Caenorhabditis elegans: one gene and its partner. The protein of the gene in region 2 interacts with the protein of the main gene of each other region in a pairwise test. Each region holds a gene or a part of one and is shown on either strand. Other genes may lie near its edges.

Evidence for each region. The genes of interacting proteins can lie anywhere in the genome.
Region 1: the proteins of spr-2 (region 2) and dac-1 interact in a two-hybrid assay, tested with the Caenorhabditis elegans proteins (2 studies listed by BioGRID).

Annotation. Positions count from the first base shown.
Region 1 is NC_003281.10:813,579-822,413, forward strand, and holds dac-1 (Dachshund homolog dac-1), read left to right. Parts: upstream 1-2,566; 5' UTR 2,567-2,692; coding exon 2,693-2,741; intron 2,742-3,891; exon of another isoform or gene 3,892-3,983; intron 3,984-4,760; coding exon 4,761-5,038; intron 5,039-5,091; coding exon 5,092-5,193; intron 5,194-5,399; coding exon 5,400-5,506; intron 5,507-6,774; coding exon 6,775-6,860; intron 6,861-6,902; coding exon 6,903-7,017; intron 7,018-7,063; coding exon 7,064-7,184; intron 7,185-7,233; coding exon 7,234-7,426; intron 7,427-7,470; exon of another isoform or gene 7,471-7,491; intron 7,492-7,850; coding exon 7,851-8,062; 3' UTR 8,063-8,152; downstream 8,153-8,835. UniProt on the Caenorhabditis elegans protein: Transcription factor. Plays a role in the thermotactic response.
Region 2 is NC_003282.8:8,889,371-8,893,891, reverse strand, and holds spr-2 (Suppressor of presenilin-2), read right to left. Parts: upstream 2,431-4,521; 5' UTR 2,418-2,430; coding exon 1,920-2,417; intron 1,847-1,919; coding exon 1,646-1,846; intron 1,597-1,645; coding exon 1,354-1,596; 3' UTR 1,149-1,353; downstream 1-1,148. Other genes in the region: C27B7.2 (Phospholipid scramblase), read right to left, coding at 274-360, 404-631, 716-856, 900-1,034; CCCH-type zinc finger protein oma-1, read right to left, coding at 3,360-3,766, 3,810-4,041, 4,086-4,233, 4,276-4,506.

The DNA of each region.
Region 1 (8,835 bases), on a different chromosome or scaffold from region 2:
TTCGACAAATGTTGTTCCCCTCCCGAAAGCAACAATGTGATAGGCAACGACTCCTTCTCCCATTTTTATGTGTGTCTGTGCGTGCGTAGTTGTGTTTTCTGAGATTCAATTTCAACAAACCACGCACTTTTTCATCATCATTGACAAGAATATGTTATAAAACACTGTGATTGAGGAATAAATTATTGAGTGCTGTTACACATTTTCTTTAGAGTTTTAAACTCTAAAAATGGCCACCAGAGGCGCCTCGAGCTTAATTTTTTACTTAAAAATTAAGAAAAAATGGGCAAAATACTTGCAAAAAACGTTCTGCAGCATTTTATATAGTTTTCTGAGAAATTGCTTGAACGGTAACAATGAGCTTTAAAGTTCTCATATTTACCACGGTTGTACGATTTAACAAAAATCTCCATACACTTGGTGTCAGGTCTGGACAGTTCTGTTGCCACTTTGCTAAACAAGACAACTGTTTTCATTGAATTTCATTCCTACAAATACGACAGTAAAGTTTATATTTCCCTGTTCTCTAGAACATGACATTAGAAACCATTCCCAACAATCGTTTGAAAAAGTTGCATTAGCAAGGAGAAGAATTTAATGTAAAGAGACAAGTAGATAAGGATCTTAAGTTGTTCGTTTAGTTCGTTTTTTCGGTGAATGATAGAATGAATACAAAAAGGTATTGAACTGTTCCGAAAAACTATTAGGAACTTCCCGAAATTAAGTTTTGAAAATAATCACAACTGATTTAACCATTTGGATTATCCAGTTGTTGAACCACATAATCACTTTTCTACTTGAAATCGTTGCCATGTTGCAAATCTAGATTGAGATTTAAATCTTCATTGGCTCCAGATTCTTGCCTCAAAAGATGTTTTGGAGAATGTTTGGTTCTTACCAAAAATTTTTGATTATGTACTAAAATGTAAAAAATGATTTTGATTTCCTATGATTTCCTATGACCTTTCAGTGTTTATTCTCAATTCGGATTGTTTAGCAAAAAAAAATTAGTTCCGGACAAGTCTGACACAAAACAATTTTATCACTGATCTGAAATTTGTCTCAACTTCTAATTGTAAGAAAAAGCTTGTGCGGTACATATTTGACTCCTGAGTAATATGGTTATACAGTTTTTGTTACTATCTTCCGAAAAACATCCCCCGCCGCACTATACATTCGGATACATGCGGCGACTTCATGAAAGCCCTAGTCTAATTGCGTTTTAATAAGAATTTATCCGGATGATCACTGTTTTATAAAGATTGCCAACTAAATTGATATTTTTTATAATTTTCACAAATAAGCGTACTGTATCAGCTCTAATTTGCCTCAAGAACTTGCACCACTATAAAAAATGAATTTCTCATGCGTCTAGAGCTCAAATTACGTTTCACTCATTCAGCCATGATTATATCAATGCAGATGTAGGCTACACGTTTAGTAGCTTCAGAGCAGCAGCAAGTCTATAAATACCCAAAAAAAATTGGAAAGCCTCTGAATCATTGTGTGTGTGTGAGTGAGCAAAAGTTCAGCTACAAAAATGGATTTTGATCTCTTGTTTTATGGCTTCAATTATCAACATTTTCAAATTTTAAATTATTTTTTCCCGAAATTTAAATTTTTCTGACTTTGAATTTTTGACTTTTTGGCGATTAAATGAAGCCATTTTTCGAAATATTTTTTTCTTGGCGAGAGAAAATAATTATATAGAGGAATGGTATAAAAAGTTCCAAATTTAAAGGGGGAGCTGGATGTTTTTCAAGAGAAAAGAGTACAGTAAGATTTTAATGAAAAATTTCTTTTCAGCTGGAGAAACTTAAAATTTTCTAAAAAACGGCACATTGCCGGAATTGAAAATTCCCGGCAAATCGGCAAATTGATTTTTGGAAATTTCTGAATTTCTACTTCAATTGGCAAAATTGAACGCGTCCTACAAATGTTCCTACATCTATTTTGAAAAGTAAGCAAATTCTATGAAAATATTGAAGAAAACGGGAAAAAATTTCAAAAAGGCAATCAAGTGTTTCCGTCTTATAAAAATTCCTCTAAACATTTCCGGCAAAGCTGATATTCGACGAAAGGCAATTTGGGAATACGCCAAAAATGAAAATTTCCGATAAATCGGCGAACCGCCAATTTGCCGATTTGCCGGATTTGTTGACAAAAAAATTGTCGAACGGCAATTGCCACCCACCGCCCACTGGCACTAATTTCAAATACTTTTCATAGCAAAATCCACCACAGGGACATTTCATAGTCAAAACAATAATTAAAATTAAAATTAAATGTTTTTTTTAAATTTTACTCTGACTGAAATTGATGACGAGAAGGTAAATATTCAAATTTCTCGTATAAGACAAACTTCTCCACAAAATCTATTTTCAGGTTACAAATCAATTAGAAAAAAATCCATTCATGCCGATTTTCTCATTCCTTTCCTCCTTTTTCTTTTCCTCCTTCATTCAATAGCAATAGCAATAAACTAAGTTTGTCTCAAGGTGGAATGTCCTGTAATGTAATGAACAGAAGAACTCCTATTCAGTTCTTCGTCTTCGTCTTCACCTGTCTTCAAGATCCTAATCTGCGAAATGATGGCAACCACATTTCACCATTCAGTTGCGAATTTCTTTCATCTGAATGTGAAGAGTTTCGTGTGTCTTCTTGAACCATTCGAATGAATTCGCTGGCAGCAATGCAGGAACTCAGCCAACTTGGCGGATATTTTCAAAAACTTGCTGCAGGTATTTGAAAATTTCAAACCGTTAAAAAATGAGCCCTTTTGATTCCGTGACAATTTCTGACGTTTTAAGCTAGACTTTTTTGAAAGAAATTTTTTTAAATAAACTTTAGAATATCTAACTGATTCTGACTCCAATTCAAAATAAAGAAGAGAGATTTTTCTTTGATATAGAACTACATTTTTCGCGTCAAAAAGTTTTTGACTTTTTTTTCTCGTTTTAAGAAACTTGTTATAACCTGAAACATGAATTTGAGTAGCGGACGCCTTGGGACGATCTTTTAAAACATACTAATTTTCTAATTTTCTTTGTGGATTATGTAAGTAAGCGTTGTAGAGTAAGTTACTCCTTTAAAGTAACAAACTATTGTATTATCTCAATAGTCTTGCAGCATCTATTGCTCTCACACCGCATTAGAGCATACAAGTCATTCGAAAATCATTTTTACGTGCAAGGAGATACTGTGCAATTCTTTCCGGCAAGTCGGCAAATTGCCGGAATTGAAATTTCCGGCAAATCGGTAAATTGCCGGGATTGAAAATTTCCGGCAAATCGTGCAAACCGGCTATTTTCCGATTTGCCGAATTTTTCCGAAAAAACGGCAATTGCCGTAAATGTTCGGCAAATTATAGCTTTGCACATTGTTTTTGGAAGTTGCCGGAATTGAAAATTAAAAAACAAAAAAATTTGCCGAACGGCACTTGCTGCTCTCCCCTGATACGTATGTATATCAATTTTTCATTGCTCTCTAAAAAGTGATGTCATTTTCTTGAAGATATTTTTCCCAGAAAGCTCGGAATCAATAATCGAAGCTGACTTTAAACTTAATTTCAAATGAAATTGTGACGTAGAAATTCTGGAACAATAGGGTTGATCACCATTACGAAATAGACTAGGTATGTCATCAATAAGTACGTCAGTTCTTTTTTTGCCTATTTATTCCCCACATGAGCGTCATCTAATACATGCTTACTCTATCAAAAACGAAAAATCGGTAAATATTTATGTGTAGGAGCACTTAGAAATATTAGAAAATCACCCGTACATTACCTGTGTGAGGATTTTCGGATGGTAATCCGGATTTGTCGGTGGGATAACGGGGTTGTGCCAGAGAAAAATGAGGATACCTTATTTTCGCGCTCACTTCAATTCCTATTCCATTTCACATCAACATCAAACATACAAATTCTACCTATTGCTTACAACTATTATCAGTATTTGATTATATGGATATCGATGAAAGAGGTTGATGTACACATGGTCTAATAACGCATGTTGTTTCAGATTTGAGAGTTGTAGTGATAGTTTAAGCGGCGAAACTAAACTTATCGCCATTTTTTTGGAATTTTTTTGAAAAACAATTTCAATGTTTTAGAGGTGTTTACTATATTAGGCAGATAAGCAATTCGGTTAGTTAAAAATTTTTTGGTAGGATTGAGTGAAAACTCTTAAAATTGCCGAAAAAGTAGTATTTGGGTTATTAAGATGCATCAACAGCGATTAGAGCTTGCAGAATATTTGAAGATGGAGTAGCACCAGTGGGGGAAGTGTTAAAAAGTACTCATAGGTGCCAAAATGACAGAATATCATAATAAAAAAAAAACTTTTCAAAAATTTTTTGAAATTTTTTTATTTACTGTCAAAAAGTGACAATTACTCAGTTTTTGCCACTCATAATTTTGGAAGTCGACCAAAAAATTTTTTTTCCTACTTTTTTATACTGCAATTTTGTTTTTATTATTTTTATTAAAACATTGTAGGGGTCGGAACATGCGACATTGCTTTGGATCTCCTTAAAAGCTCTTTTTTTTTTTGGCACTTTGCAAAAATTTGTCCGGAAATTATAAAAAATCTAAAACTTTTTGGAATGTATTATTATTATATTAAGTCGTTCTGGATCATTATAAATGTATTTAGACAAAATCCCCAATGGCGCTACTTCACCTTTAAGCTGAGCCATAAAATGTAGTATGCCAAGCGTTTCCAAAAAGAACAGAAAGAGTGTAAAATTAAAAATTCCAGGCGGATTCGTGATCAACCCATCTTCTTCTTCTTCCTCATCGAACAATTCCTCATCTAACACTTCTTCGTCCAATTTTCTATCTCCATATGAGTATCAAGAATCCTCGACCTCACCACGTGACACTACAGATTCATCTGGTGAATCCTCGTTGTCCTCTTCTGGCTCTTCATCTTCACTGAATGGTTCTTGTAATGTTGCAGCCAAGTTGATCAAGTTCCGCGGGCATAACGTCGCCGCTTTTGACATAAACGGCAAAGAAATGATTTGTTTGCCTCAGGTATGAGCTTTTTTTGTGAAAACGAAATAGTCTAGAAGACATGAGAAGTTTAGGTGTACGAGGTATTTCTCAAAAATATGGTAGGAGGACTTCATACGGTATACACTAAACTCAAACGGTTGTACATTCATCCGATGGTTTGCAATGTAGAACAGGTAAAAATTCTTGTCCACTAACAAATTTTAGAATAATTTGAAAATTCACCTGACTGACAATATTCTAAACCAATTAAATAACCCGTAAAAGAATCTGATGTTTAATCTCTTTTTTAAAGAAAATAAAAATCTCTCATAATCCGCATGCAAATACGGATATTTTATCGTTATCCTTCTATAAAATCTCCACCATCCACGACTTTTAGGTGCGCGCCCTTCGATCACTTGGAGCTATCCAGCCGGGTGTCAACCGATGTAAACTACTCAAGACTTCGGATTTCGAGAAACTCTATGACGATTGTACAAGCACTTGGTGGGCGTTTTTACTTTTTGGGATCATCAGGTGATGAAAGTGTCATATTTCCAAAGTAGCATCAAACTTGGCTTGGAAATTTTGATTTCTGATAACTCTGTCAAGTCAGGCGAATGCTATTACGCTATTACTATGCGCTTAGCTTCATAAGATAGAGGTTTTTTCACTTCCTATTTTCCAAGCTACAGAAGAAACTACGACAAGTTATTTTACTTTGAAAAAAATGGATTTTCCAGTTGGTAGAAGATTGGTTTTTTATGAAGAGTATGATATGGAGAGTTTTAAACCTCCTACCGAAGAAACAACTTCTGACAGGTGATTTCTAAGGTGTTTCACGAGAATTGTTTCCTTATCACTTACATTAGGGATCCCAGCTGAAATGCGGGCCTCACGTCGACGCCGCTGTGTGTGCACAACGGTGTGCGAAAAGCTAATTATTTGGAAGCGGCCGACACATTCGGGGTTCAGCGCGGCACTATACATTCGGATAAATGAGGCGTGATTGACGCCGTGAGGCTGGCGCAGGCGACGTGGCGGCGACCTCATGGGAGCCAGAGGTGGGCAGATATTTTTTCGGATATTTTCTAATAATGAATTTATCAATTAATATTGATGTAGTTATTCTGGAAGAAATGTATCCGAACCAAAGAGTGGGGGGGGGGGGGGGGCCTATTAAGCAACATTTTAATATGATAAAACCTAGAAAAATTCTACAAGTTTTCCTTACCGAGACCTTAAAACTTATTAGCCGAGCAACATCGGATATCGGATATTACGGATATCGGATAATGGACTTGCATATCGTTTATACAGAAAACTTGTAGAATTTTCCTAGGTTTTATCATATTAAAATGTTGCTTAATAGTTACTCTTTTGTTCGGATACATTTCTTCCAGAATAACTACATCAATACTTATTGATAAATTCATTATTAGAAAATATCCGAAAAAAATATCCGCCCACCTCTGATGGGAGCCCTATTGCAAAAAGCGTCCCTCCTGGATGAAGATTTACCAAGGTTAACCCGGTTTTCGTAGAAGTTTAGCATAAAGGATCAAACTTTAAATGATTGACTGCTACTGTTGAGTACGTAGTTTTGGGAAAAAATAGCTCTAGTAAATATATTAGCAAATCATTAGAGCATTAGTTCAGAGATTCAATAGGCACTAATAGTTGAAATTAATGTCCCGAAAACATTGCTCCTGAATTTCAAAAAAATCATTAAATTTAAGAAGTACATCTAAATATTACTAATCCTTCGCTTTCAGTACCCGCCCTGGGCGCCCATCAAAAAGAAGCTTTGATGATTGGAATAACGGCGCAGTAATAATTAAGAAAGATAAAACGGATTCAGGTAAACTTTTCACAGATATACTCGATTAATTCAATTTTTTAGAGCCTGTGAATGGGCCCGTATTCAACCAACTAATGCAACCGCAAATGACGCCTCAACAAATTTTGATGCAACACTTTGTTGCGCTTTCTCAGAAGACGAAAAATAGTTTTGAGAGGTTAGTCGAGTCATTTTCTATTGTTCATAACTTCAGCAATGTTTAGAGCAGATGATGATGATCAAAATCAGAGAGACGCTGATGATATAACGCCATTGAATCTAAGTAAAAGTGGAGGAAATTCTGAGAATGACTCAGATTCTTTAGAAAATATGAGAAAAGAAGATGTGAGGCACACATTTATAGTTTGTTTGCATCCAACCTTAAACATTTTAGTCCTCACCAAACACGTCTGTTAGTGATCGTGGTGGCTCCAACTCAAATTCATTGTCAATGTCAATGGAGGCTGGGAGTAGTAGTAGTAGTGGCAAAAACGATGAAGCTTCTATGATGAATAAAGTAATGTCCTTAATTGAACTTGCTAGCCAACAGTTCAAGCATGAAAGAGAAGAGCTATGGAAAGAGCGAAGTGAGTTTTGGACTATATTCTTCTTGAATAACACATGGTTCATTGCAAGGGTCCTACATTTCCAAACATTTTAAAACTATTCTTGTCACTTATTTCTCAAGACCTGATAACTGTAAAGTATTTTTACTAATCCTACTTTTTTGATCTCCAATGCCTTCCATGACTAATCGTGAATAAGGTTTCAGACAAATCTCTCTTTTTCTGAAATTCCACTCTTTTGAAATGTATTTCAAGTCTAATCCGGTATTTTACTTATTAAGGGAAGCCAAATGAAACCAATATTATTTTGAAACATTTTAATGAATGATATCAGTTTTTTCTTACAATAAGTGAATATGTTTTGAACGGATAGGGCGAATTTTTGATTGATATAACAACAAAAAAAAACTACGTAGCAAAAATAATTCAAAAAATAAGTTTTCAGGCGAAATACAAGTTCTTCGAGAGAGTTTTCACAAGATTGTGCAAGAAGAACGCGATTTGCGCAAAAAGCTCGAAACTCAGAACAAGAAATGCACGGCTTTCGAAAAACGCTACAAATATGTCAAAAAACAACTATTGCTGGCGAATGCGGACCTGAGAAGATATAAGGAAAAGGAGGAGCAGTCTTCGGACGGAAATTCTGTGGAACTTTGAAGCTTTTTTTTTGAAATCAATTCAATTTTTTTCAGAATTACGAACTAAGTATTTTTGTGTAGAAAAAAGCACTAAATAAACTGTCATATGAAATTGCGATTTTGTTGACAAAAAATGGAAGACAATAGAAATTACATTTTCGCGTATTCCGATTCTTTCATCTTCCGATTCCAACCGTTTTTCGTAAGACTCCCATGAGGTCGCCGCAACGGCACCCGCGCCAGCCTGAATTTTTTAAGCATATTTTTCAACAACCAGGAGGATTTTTTCAGCAACCAGGAGGACTCCACAGTGGTAAACTTCTTTCGAGATTTTTAAAAGATCCAGAAATCAAAATTTTGATTTTTTGCGGGCATGAGATGATGGATTATCCTCCCCCAGCCTCCCCACATATTGAATGATCGGAATCTGCGGGGCGCTTCACTGACTGACACAGGAAATAATTCATCATATTTGTTGTGTTGGGATAAGCATTGACAAGATGGATCACAAGTGGCGAACTTTGGTTTTTTAAGACGGCTGATGGGATATCTAGAGTGCGTCGGAAAGTTAACAGTGTATGTTTGACTATTGTTGCTCCCCTGCAACAATAACACTGATTTTCCGCACTTTCAGAATGAATCTGGTCAAAATTTGAATGCATCAAAATTCGACTATTACTGATTACCTCTAAAGTGTTAAAATTCGTTGAATTTTTTTCTGAAAACCAAATATGATTTATTTTGACTACTTGAAAGCGATAAGAATTGGCTTGTGTAATTCGTATATGAACC
Region 2 (4,521 bases):
GGAAACTTCTACGATGTAATTGATTTTAACACATGTTGCGAAATAAATTTATCTCGAAACGGAACATCGAAGTTTATAAATTATTATTATAAACCCATGACAATGTTTATTCATAACATTCGGCGAAAAGGAAGAAAAAACTGTTGAAAAGTAAAAAAAAAACAATAAAAACAAATAGTGGCAGCTGATACAGGATTACAATCGTAACTGAAACCGAGATCTATATGTTAGTCTTATAGAGTAAAAATCTAAAATTAATGCCGACACAAAAGATCAATTGTTGGCAGCAGAAGGAGCCAATTTTTCTTTGAGCTTCTCGGTAGTCGAAGTTAGCAGACTTTTCTGTTCGTCTTGTTGCATCTGAAATAACATGTATTTTTAAAGAACATCTCGAAACAAATACTTTTTGCAATGTCACTTTATAAACTTCTCCGTTTCCATCGACCGTTAAAACGGAGTATCCATCAAACCAACTCAAATTTTGCATTCGATAATCAAATCGAAGAAGGCGTGGATTCATAATAATTCGAGTAAATGACACATATTTGACTCTCCATCTACAACGAACCGTTCCTTCGTCAATGACTGGAGCTACTGATAACATTTCCATTTCCACGTGTGGCAAGAAGACCTAAAAGATTTTGAATCTTGGATAACGAAGACTTGGCCAATTTTCTTTTCAAAAACATTGTTCTAAAAAAAAGGTTGGATAAACCTGTCCCAATGTTCCAATCATTCCAAAATGGCTCATCAGCTGTTCAATTCCTCGCTTTTCAACTGAGAAAATTTGATCATCACAAACAACGTCTTTTCGATAAAAAGTATAATCCATTCGTCGGCGGAACATGAGCGGAACCTTCAAGTTGTTTCAGTTAACCCACAAAAAACTTTTAATTTACAGTTTCAGTGAGACGGGTCGTCACATGCTCCAATTGGTGAGGTGCTGGTTTTTCATGAGAAAAATCAATGCTAAAGGACCGAGTACACGCCGATAATCTAGAAGTTGCTGCTGTGAAACGACATGTGAGCAACATCTGAAAAGAGGCGAATGAGCAAGTTAGTAGATTGAACTGTTCAAGAACTACGTGAAAAGGAAACTTCGCGGCCAATTACCATTTGTTTTGTAGGACTCTTAGACGGTATTCAATGCAGATCTTTCATTTGATTCGAATATACTTGGAATCATGTCAAAAACATATAGGAATACAATCAAGCTGAAGATAGAGCCGCAAAAATACTCGGCAGTGAATAAATACTTACAAAAACGGGATCGATTGATAAATGATAAAAATGACAATTATAACACACGGTGGGAATAATAAATTAGTATGCAACAAATTTCAGCTTCACAAGCTACTCTGCAGTGTTCTCGGGGTTGACTGCAACGTGTGCTTCAACATTCTCATCACCACCTTCTTCTTCAATTGCTCCATCCTCTTCTTCTTCTTCACCCTCCGCTTCTTCTTCAACACCATCTTCTTCTTCTTCTCCCATATCTTCCTCTTCTTCATCCTCTCCTTCTTGCCCATCCGCACTTTCATCTTGATCAACCTTCAGTGAATCACTTATGTTCCGACGAGGAATCCTTTGTCCATTCTGAAAATTGTTCAAAAATCCAGTAGCCTCATAATGGTGTTTCTAATACCTCATCTACACCGCGCTCCTCATTCAGAAAGTCTTCGATATCGTCTTCTTCAACTTCCTGCATGTCGGGCATCACGTAGTACTGCAAAGGATTGACGTACAGATCGTCTTTGATCACTTCAGCAATCTCATCACTGTCTGGTAGTGCTGCGTACGTGAGCCATTCAAGAAACGTGTGAGCTGAATCTCCGTCTTCCGGCTTCTGGAAGAGTTACATTGCGAAAGTTTTAGAAAAAATTCGATTAAAACAATAGGGATTATAAAGATAAACTCACGAATGGCGGTTTCTTGTTCTCCTTCCACTCGATTTCGGTAATTTCGGTGCTCGGTGACTCAGATTGCAGATGATACGACTTTGTAATTACTTCGTTTGTGAAGTACTCATTCGGGTCAAATGTCATAATTATTTTGAATCCACTGCGAAGATCTTCAAATTCTTGCACTTCAAGATCTCGCAGAGCGGCTAACAAGTCCTCTTGTTCTTCCGGAATAGCAGTTGAAAGAAGATGATGATTGAGAAAAGCAGTCTGCCAGAAATTGTCGATTTTTGTTGTCAGCTTCTTTCTTTTTTCATAAATCGGAAGACGTTTCTGATTGAAAATCTGCTCGACTTTCAAAACTTCTTCGGCAGCGTTTTCACTCATCACATCTAGTTGGTGCTGAATGGCGTCTAGTTCGATTAGCTTTTCCTTCACGGGACCAGCTACTTCGGATCGGAGATTTGGGAACTCATCGGCATTTTTCATTCGCTTTGCAGCCGGCTCTTCGCTCATATTTTAACTGAAAAAATTGAAGATTAACGGCAAAGAGAGCTTGTTTAGTAGAACAACAAAAGGCAGGGCGAGTTTGTAAAGCAAGTGTTCAACAGAATAAGCGCAAACGCACTGAAAATGCGCAAATAGTGTTGACTGGCGCATATTTTGAATAGAGCCTAGACACTTTTGATTTAATCAAGTGATTGATCAAGCTTACCCACAATTAACAGTTTTATAAATATCGACAATTTATGACCTAGTCAAGAACGCGAAGCTTAAAATTTAAAAAAATAAATGTATTATTATCGGTTAAACGGTTGGGAAAAAACTAATTAACATGCATGCATATAAAGTCTTTAAAACCGTAATGTTCTCATATTGAGAACAAAGCTAACTTGAATTGCAATATTATTTTGCTTTTTCATGGTACGTACTTAGATAGTTTTCGTGTTGGAACATATAACCTGATTTTCAATAAATTTGAAAATTGAATCGATCAAAAAAATTTACTACATCCTGCAATGAGGATCAAGAAGGAAATTTCGGATAAAAATTTTAAATGAACAAAGAAACGAAAGAAAAATACGTACGGGCAGTATCGGAGCCATTGAGAAGAAAGAAAGATAGAAAAAAAGAATCACAATTATGATCCGTGGCAGGTGCAATTTATTTTGAGATTGGGGAAGGGATTAGTGAGACAGAAGGCAATCGGGAACTCGAGCGGTGAAAATTGGAATACATTCAATGATTCGATGAATTACAATATACATCACAAGATTCGATATTAATTTCGAGAATTTAAAATGGGAATGGGCGCTTTTGACGATTGGGCCAAGTTTCTATGGGACAAGAACACGTCGACTAAAACTTATTATATTCACAAATGCACGCATTATTAGTTAGTATGGGGGACACGAATATTGAAAGTGTTTAAAAATTTGACAAATGTAGAGAAGTTGTTCACCACAAATTGAGATGCTTGGTCATATTTTCGGCCAATTGATCGAATCCTGGCATTGGAGAGAATGGTCCGTTACATGACATCATTGGATCAGTTGCGACAGATTTCATCAGAAGAGATTGAGCAACAGCAGAATTTGCGAAATATGCAGCAGCGGCAGCTGCGGATGCTGCATTGAGTGACGAAGAACTGAGATCCTGAGAAGGCGTGGATCCAGCAGATGAATATCCAGAAACTCCTCCAGGAGTATTTTGCTTTCCGAGCATTCCGAACGAGCCAGCATTTGGAGCGGAACCCAAAACCATCGAATCGAGTGGACTAGCTGGCCGATGTGCCATATTCCAAGCGTCTAGAGCAAACATCGATGGATCCAATGGCCAGCGAGACGGTGGATAGGTCATCGCACCTAAAACAGAGGTCATTAATTGCAACTAGCTGCCAATTTTTACCTTCCGCGTCATGCAATTCCTTCGTTGGTAGCTCATATCTTGGACCACGAGTACTAACAGGAGTTGGTCCTAGTGGCAATTTAGCCGCTGGCTCATCTGGAGTTGATGGCCTGGCAAACATTTCTAAAGGATGCTGAATGGCAGAAAGCGGGGGAGCTGCAATGCGACCATTAGTCATGATGTGCTGCTCCATTTGATCACGAATGTCAGCCAATGCATGGCGTTGAGAAACCTGAAAATGTTTACAGTGAGCAAAAATACATGTTTTCTTCTGACTTCAAGAAGTTTATCAGCGCGAATGTATGCGTTTGGTCCATGATCGGGATGAATGAAAAGGCACCGTTTCCCGTATGGGCAGAGTCCTGTAGTCGTATATTTGTCACAGAGTTTCGTTTTATACTTATTGTTCTGCAGCGGCTCGACGCTAAAAATTGGAATTAACATAATTTGTTTGCTTCATTCTTACAATGTTGGACGAAGTTCCTCCTCTCCATGTGCAAACCGGCAGTTGTCTGCGAAAGAACAAGTCTTAGATTCGAGCCAAGCTTGGCAGATCACAGTCTTGTATGATTCTGGTTTCTGCATTCGGGCTAATCCGCGGCGTCTAGGATCAAACTGTTGAAATGGAGGTGCAACCTGGTTGTTCTGGGGAAAACTCTGAATCGCGCGAACTTGCATCGATTGAATATGTTGGTTGCTGAAATGTAGTAAA